Macaca fascicularis: one gene and its partner. The protein of the gene in region 2 purifies or fractionates together with the protein of the main gene of each other region. This does not show direct contact. Links are inferred from orthologs where the notes say so. Each region holds a gene or a part of one and is shown on either strand. Other genes may lie near its edges. The genes, in order: RPS3 and TSR1.

Region 1 (3,908 bases), on a different chromosome or scaffold from region 2:
ACGCCAGAATCACTCACCTCTACACTGCCCTCTGGAAAGCCAAACCTCTTCTGAACTACAGCAGTCAGTTCCCGAATCCGCCGGCCCTTCTCACCAAGAACATTCTGTGTTCTGGGCGGGGAAAAAGTGACAATTCATGACTCTCACAAATGCTAGATTTAACTTTAAATCTTGCATATATATGTGGTAGCAAAATCTCTGCCACAAAGCATATAATTTTCATTGACAAAAACTAAAGTTAAATTTTCAAAATGCAGCTTTTTTTGAGACAGGGTCTCTCTCTGTCACCCAGGCTGGATCACACCAATGGCTCACTGCAGCCTGGACCTCTTGGGCTCAAGCCATCGCCTGCTTCAGCCTCTGGAATAGCTGGGACCACAGGTATGCACCACCACACCCTTATCTTTTTTAGAGAGGGGGTTTCCGCATGTTGCCCAGGCTGGTCTTGAACTCCTGAGCTCAAGCGATCCTATGCCTGGCCTTAAAATCCAGCTTTTAAGAAGCAATTACATTCACTAAGCCCAGACTCACTGGCTGTCTATCCCCTTAAGTTCACAAAGGACAAACCAGCCAGGCGCGGTGGCTCACGTCTGTAATCCCAGCACTTCAGGAGGCCGAGGTGGGCGGATCACGAGGTCAGGAAATCGAGACCATCCTGGCTGACAGGGTGAAACCCTTTCTCTACTAAAAATACAAAAAATTAGCCGGGCATGGTGGTTGGCCCCTGTAGTCCCAGCTACTCAGGAGGCTGAGGCAGGAGAATGGCAGGAAGCTGGGAGGCGGAGCTTGCAGTGAGCAGAGATCTCACCACTGCACTCCAGCCTTGGGGACAGAGCAAGACTCTGTCTCACAAAAAAAAAAAAAAAAGGAATAAACCAACTTAGCATTTACAACAATTATAGGTGATGGCCAGTCAAGTGAGTTTTACCTGGTGGCTAAGATAATGATTTCTGTCCTGGTTGGTGTAACTCGCACCTCAACTCCAGAGTAGCCATCTTCAGCCAGCTCCCGAGTAAGAAACTCATTCAGTTCAGCTTTGAAGATGCCATCAGCGACAAACTAATCCAAAAAAAGCGAAGTTCAAAATTAGGACATCGGTGTAGGCTCACTTTCGCCTGAGCCAGTGTCTTATTAGTCAATGCATCCCTCCCCAAAACTAAATACCTCCAACCAATGGTTCCAAACCCTTGTTCCAACAGGAGTGCAGCAACCCTTCTCAGACAAATGCCTCTAGGTCATCTTTAGGAAGTTACTTCAACCAGGGCCCTTTAAACTGTGCCACAGAATGCAGCACAGAGTAGGCAACCTGGGCGAAGGCAACACCCCCAAGTCAGACTCGTCATCATCTCTTCATCGAAGGGTTTAAAACAGTTCCACATGCAAAACAAGAAACTGCTCTAAAATAGCCTATTTACACTTCACTCAGCACAGCAAAGACACTGTACTTGTCACTGTGAAGGAACAGAATAGATAGTGGACTTAACATACGCTCTCTCACTTGCAGACACAACCTGGACCGTCTAAAGAATCCCAGCCATGTTATCTGGCCTTACGGTACCTGTGGTTTTAACTGTAAACAGAGCTGGAAAATCCTAACTCACAAGAGTTGTGGATTTAATTTTAACATCGAAGTGTAGGTATACGAAATGACAAACTGTCTATTTTTAAAGCTAATGATTTTTACACAGTTCTTTCCCATGGAATAACAAAGCGTTAAATCCGAGGCAGCTTCCTCCCGGGGTCCTCAGACGGAGCAAGCAATCGTCAGTAACCCTTCATGTTGAGGTCGTGGGACCAGCAGACTGTACCCAGACTCGACCAGTAAGAAGACAAGTATACACTGCTGCCTCCCCTTCCCAAAACCATGGGATAAGACATGAGGGAAATGACACACGCCCTCAAAATGCCACGTTTACTAATTCCATTGACCAAAAAATGCTCACAAACGCCTTCTCCGGGACAGAAGGGGCGCCTGGTCCCCATCTCTCTGCGCTTCACTCGGAACCAGAGAAAAACCTGTCTCTCCCTTACCCGGCCACACAGCGCCCGCCTGGCTCGGGCCTCTCACTCAATCCACCGCCATCCGCGGCCCGTGGGAATGCCAGGAGGCCTAAGCCGCTTCCCAGGGCAGGGCACGGAGCTGCAGGCCTCGCGGTGGCACCCGAGAAGCCCCTGACCCTCGCGGCGCAGTCGTTCCCCGAACCCAGTCCCCAGAGGCTCACCTTCCTCTTCTTGGAAATTTGCACGGCCATCTTGCCGCCGCGCTCCGCCGAAAGAAAAAGAAGTGGCGGGCGGGCGGAAGTGAGTATAAAGGGCGCAAGCGACGACGCAGGGCTGCGCTACGTGGACGCCTATGGGTGCTCATGGGAAATGTAGTTTTTACGTAAAGAAGGCGTCAAGGGAAGGAAGAGTGTAGGCAGGAACAGCAAAGGGGGTTCGACCAGCAGGACTGCTAGACTTCAGAGGATCTTAGAGTTCAATTCGCTTTTTTTTTTTTTTTTTGAGACGGAGTCTTGCTCTGTCGCCCAGGCTGGAGTGCAGTGGCCGGATCTCAGCTCACTGCAAGCTCCGCCTCCCGGGTTCACGCCATTCTCCTGCCTCAGCCTTCGGAGTAGCTGGGACTACAGGCGCCCGCCACCTCACCCGGCTAGTTTTTTGTATTTTTTAATAGAGACAGGGTTTCACCGTGTTAGCCAGGATGGTCTCGATTTCCCGACCTCGTGATCCGCTTGTCTCGGCCTCCCAAAGTGCTGGGATTACAGGCTTGAGCCACCGCGCCCGGCCGCGAGTTCAATTCTCATAGTTTAAAAACAAGCAATGCGAGGTGCAGAGGTGGAAATTACAGGTATAAGTTCACACAGCAACAGAGTTTAACCAGCGTGGAACTCTGGCCCCTACAGTTTCAGGGTGGACATTGTAATGAAAATCTGCTGAAATCCCTCAGTGAAATTCATTTAAGACTCCTCTTTGGGAGGCCAAGGCGGGCGGATTACTTGAGGTCAGGAGTTAAAGACTAGCCTGGCGAACATGGTGAAACCCCGTCTCTACTAAAAATAGAAAAAGTAGCTGGGCGTGGTGGCAGGCACCTGTAATCCCAGCTACTCAGGAGGCTGAGGTGGGAGGATTGCTTGGACCCGGGAGGTGGAGGTTGCAGTGGGCGGAGATCCCACCACTGCACTCTAGCCTGGGCGACAGAGTGAGGCTCTGTCTCAAAAAAAAAAAAAAAAAAAAAGAATGTCCCCCAGTCTGTGCCCATTTCCTCCATTCCAAATGATAATAAAACCTGATATTTACTAAGTGTCCTAGGGACTGTGTTCTGTGCCCTTTATGTTGTTTTCATTTACTCCACCTTACTTTCATCAAGTCCATTACAATTTGTAACAGAAGTCCCAGAGAGTGGCTCGTGTGCCCGCCCGCCCTCCCTCTCTTCCTTCCTTCCTTCCTTCCTTCCTTCCTTCCTTCCTTCCTTCCTTCCTTCCCTCCTTCCTTCCCTCCTTCCCTCCTTCTCTCTCTTTCTCTCCTTTCTTTCTTTTCTCTCCCGTTGCCCAAGCTGGAGCGCAGTAGTACGATCTCAGCTCCCTGCAACCTCCACCTCCCAGGTTCAAGCGATTCTTCTGCCTTGGCCTCCTGAGTAGCTGGGATTACAGGTGCACACCACCAAACCCGGCTAATTTTTGTATTTTTAGTAGAAATGAAGTTTCACCACGTTGGCCAGGCTGGTCTTGAACTCCTGACCTGAAGTGATCCACCTGCCTCACCCTCCCAGAGTGCTGGGATTACAGGCATGAGCCAATGCGCCCGGCCTTCTTTTTCAATTAAAAAAAAATTCTAGCCAGGTGCAGTGGCTCAGGCTTGTAATCCCAGCACTTTGGGAGGCCAAGGCAAGTGGATTGCTTGAGGCCAGAAGT
Region 2 (3,908 bases):
ACCAAAAGCAGGTGATAGCCAACCATGAACCAAAAATCTCCTAAATCTAATATAGTAACCAGAAAGACCCAGAAATATCAGTCCTCATGTAGAAGATGAATGCAACAGAATGCTAAAACTTGTCAAAACTTTTCAAATGGCCATTTTCTAATTTCCAGGGTATTTTAAGTCTCTGCTTGGCTCTTGAGGTCTTTCTTAATCTGCTCCCACTCCTACCCATTTATTACATACCTCACTGCTATCAAGCTGATTTTTCAAGGTTCAAATAAACCCTTTGATCCACCACTGTGCCTAGGTTCATTCTGTCTCTATCTTCTAGAATATTCCTTTATCCTTCTTCAACTCATAAATCACATTCATCCTTCTCAACACCTTGCTCAAGTCTGATCTCTTCTGTGAAGCTTGCTAGTCTACTTTCTCAACTTCCACTGCTGATCCACACCTTAACCATATGCTATCTCAATCTTTATTTCACAGACGCCATTTTGTTCCAGCCCAATTAAGTCCCTTGAGGAAAGCAACCACGTCTTGAGTGTGTTCTATAAACTCAGAGCCAGTTGCAGTGCAGAGTACCCAGAAAGTGCTGGATAAATGTGATTTATCAACATATTTATAACTGACTATTGCCTTACTTCAGACTAGCAGTCTCCTCATTCACCTAAGTGAACAGACTACCTTCTCCGAATTTAAGTTTCCTTCCTGTGCCAACTTTCACATGAACATGATTTAAGAATATCAGTCTTACCTCCATTGCCATGTCTGGGTCCTTCTGGGGTTTAATTCTTCTAGGATTTAAAGGGAAAGGGTCTCCAGGGGCATCTATCTGTTTCATCTGGAAATCGCCATGTCCAACGATATGCAGCAACCTATTGACATTCACAGTCTGCCCTCGAACATAGCCTGAAATTTTCAAGGTGCCCACCAAGTTATTCTCTTCACTAGGAACAAAATCAACAGCATGGGCAAACAGGTAGGCCCGCCGATCTCGAAACGCAAGATGCTGTTGCTTCTGGTTAGCCAACTGCCTAAGCAGCATCCCTGCCTCCTGTTGAGTGTCTAACAAGAGGAATTTGTCATGCAGAAAGCGCTTCTCCACTGCTTTACTTAGCTTCTTCCTGGCATCTATTTGTTTCTTCAGTGGGAGGCCAGAAATCCCCTGGACAGCTAGTGCTGTAAGCAAAAGAGAAAATGCTTCATGACCTATTGCTTCATTACATAAAAATCCCTCCGCAGTTCACAAACAACCTAATAGCTCAGTTGCAAGCCCAGAGATCACTGGGAAACCCAACACTTAACTACCCTGAAGGAATTTCACAGTGAAATCAAACTTCATATCCTTGTTTCTCTGGGCAAAGGAGAGCCAAAAACAAAAAGACACACTGAGTGATAATCTGTAAACAATGGATCAAGTTTAATCCATATGTATACATCCCACCATCAGTTGAATATGATCCGTCAGTTGTACTTCTATATAAAATGCCAGGCATAGTGCCTGACACATTATAGGTGCACAATAAATGTTAACTCACTTACTATAGGTGGGAAGGCCCTGAGCAAAGAGGCAGGAAAGACAGTAATCGCCGGTGCTGTCCCAGCCTTCTAGTGGATCAAGAAGGAACAGGATGGTATCAGCTACTTTAGCCATGTCTAACACAGTGTGCAGATCCCCTGGAGACAGAAGACACAGTAAGAAGAGGTGGCTGGCACCAGCATATTATACTAAAAAAAAAAAAATTACCACTACTCAAACATAATAGAAAATATTGGTGTATACTCTAACCTGGCCTTGCTGACGTGAAAAACCACCGATGTTTCAAGCGGGGGCATAGCAGCATAAAGCTCTGGGTGTTTCCCAATTCATTCAAGTGTACTGTTCCAGTGTCCCTATCCTGAAGCAGCTGCATGGCCTCTGGCAGGGAAATTCTGCTGTGCAGGGGCACCACCAGTACCTGATGAGGAGGGCCATCCTTGCCACCCAGCTGTCTCTTCTCTGCCAGAACCTGAAAATAGAAAGATATCCGAGAACATCTCAGCGTGTCAGTACTTCACGCCAGCATTGAATTTCCATTCCCACAGATGCCCCCTCTACCCACAACCAGCATCTCTCTGGTAGCAGACCACAGGTATGTCGGCGGGGTGGCAGGAATTCTGACGAAAGCAAAAAATGCTAGACCTGCAGGCTCGACACGTGCTCTAGGGCTATGCTCTATCCCTGGACCCCCACCCGGTCTCATTTTCCAGTTCCAGGCAATAGCCACCTAGAACAGCAGAGAAGCCGCACTCTCCCAAATCCCGCTCCTCTCACCGCCTCCTTCTTCTGCTTTCGGAGCTGGCTGGCGCGATGCCTCTGGTCGACTCTGCTGAGTTCTTTTCTCACCTTCTTGCTTAGGGTTTTCAGTGCTAGACGGCCTGAAGGGCATATTAGAAGGGGCTGGTGTGATCGACCCCATAACAAGGTCAAGAAAAGGGACTCCTCTCCGCCCACCTTAGAAAGGGCCTTTCGCGTGGAGCCCAGACGGGAGACAGAAAGCTCAGTCTGGGCATGGGGAAAAAGAGTTAATAATGGCCAAATAGCCCTTATTCCTTCTACGCTATCTTCTTACCCTTGCCGTCCCGCTGTGCAGATCCCCGACCCCGATGCCGCCCGCCTTTATGAGCTTTATTCTGCTGCTTGAGCGGACCGGGGCGGTGAGCCGCCATGCCGCAGCGCGCGTGTACAGTCAACACTGCTTCCGGGCCAGGACGAACGCTTCCTGTCCCCTCCAAGGGGGCGGGCTCTCAGTGGGGCGGGACTCCCTGCGCCCTCCCGCGACGGTCTTTTCCAGCCACCCCAAAGCGCGCCGCGTTAGTCGCTCTGCCAAGCCACGATGGGAAGTTTTCCCACGCTGTAGTGTGTGGTTTGGAGGCTTGAAGGCGCCCGATGTAGACTCTCGAGGCTTGGGCTATTGGTCCAGCAGGGCTGTTTGTGCCCCTTGCATTGTCATTTTTTTTGCGCCATAAAACTGCATCACATAGAAACATGTTGACTGGAAGGCTCCATTCGTGCCGAAAAGGCCTAAGCCCTTCCTGTCACCTAGATTCGGGCATGTTGCTCTTCCATTTGCAATGGCGTGTTCTTTATCACTCTGAGCAACCTTTCTTCTCCCTCAATTCCCTAGCGAGGCTTGGGAATCGCGTGGAAGACACTTCTCTCACCTTGCCCGGTTCCTTACCAGCTCACGCCCGTCCCTGTTACTCCAACCCGCGCCCCGCCTCCCACGGAGCGGCAGGGAAGGACCCTGTGGGACGTGGCGACCCGGCGAGGGGGACTGGCTGCGACCCTCCGGCCCTCGGGCTCCGGCGGCTGCGCTCCCACTAATCTTCCCAGAAACTTGGCGACGGCCGGACGGGGATTCAGAGGGGTCACGGGGCCAGGCTGCACCGGCTTCGCCGTGGCCAGGCTCGGACCGCAGGGGATTCCGTGCCCGAGCCCCGGCCCTTTCCGTCCCGTCGGGAGAGGGAGCAGGGAGAAGTCAGGGGACATTGAGCGGGACCGAGGCTCGCTCTCAGCCGCCGGGCCGCGGGCCCCAGGGCCGGCGCTCACAATGCGGCTTCGCGCCCTCCAGCGGGAGCGGGTGCGTTTCCATGACAGCGACCCCTGTGGCGCGCGCCCGGGTCTGCCGCCCCTAGGCGCGCACGGCCTCTCCCCGCCCCGATCCCCCGTCGCTGTGCGCAACCCCCCTCCGGCTGTGGGAAGGGGCCGGGCCTGCCGCCTGACGTCTGTGCGGGGCTCGGAAGATGGCTGCGGAGCCGAGCACCGGGCAGTGGCTGCGGCGGCGGCGGCGGCGGGCCGGGAGCGCGGCGGGCGGGGGCTCCGCCTTGCGCGTGGGGCGCTGAGCCGAGAGTCGCGGAGGCGGCGGGGGCGCGGG

Evidence for each region.
Region 1: the proteins of TSR1 (region 2) and RPS3 purify together in Homo sapiens (co-immunoprecipitation; 4 studies listed by BioGRID and IntAct, with this or other methods). This does not show direct contact. The link is inferred for Macaca fascicularis from reciprocal best matches to the Homo sapiens genes TSR1 and RPS3.

The regions. Positions count from the first base shown.
Region 1 is NC_088388.1:74,280,967-74,284,874, reverse strand, and holds the start of RPS3 (small ribosomal subunit protein uS3), read right to left. Parts: upstream 2,283-3,908; 5' UTR 2,253-2,282; coding exon 2,223-2,252; intron 1,360-2,222; exon of another isoform or gene 1,212-1,359; intron 1,060-1,211; coding exon 929-1,059; intron 112-928; coding exon 18-111; intron 1-17. UniProt on the Homo sapiens protein: Component of the small ribosomal subunit. The ribosome is a large ribonucleoprotein complex responsible for the synthesis of proteins in the cell. Has endonuclease activity and plays a role in repair of damaged DNA.
Region 2 is NC_088390.1:2,454,635-2,458,542, forward strand, and holds the start of TSR1 (pre-rRNA-processing protein TSR1 homolog), read right to left. Parts: upstream 2,729-3,908; 5' UTR 2,701-2,728; coding exon 2,604-2,700; intron 2,410-2,603; coding exon 2,306-2,409; intron 2,001-2,305; coding exon 1,781-2,000; intron 1,669-1,780; coding exon 1,534-1,668; intron 1,171-1,533; coding exon 746-1,170; intron 1-745. UniProt on the Homo sapiens protein: Required during maturation of the 40S ribosomal subunit in the nucleolus.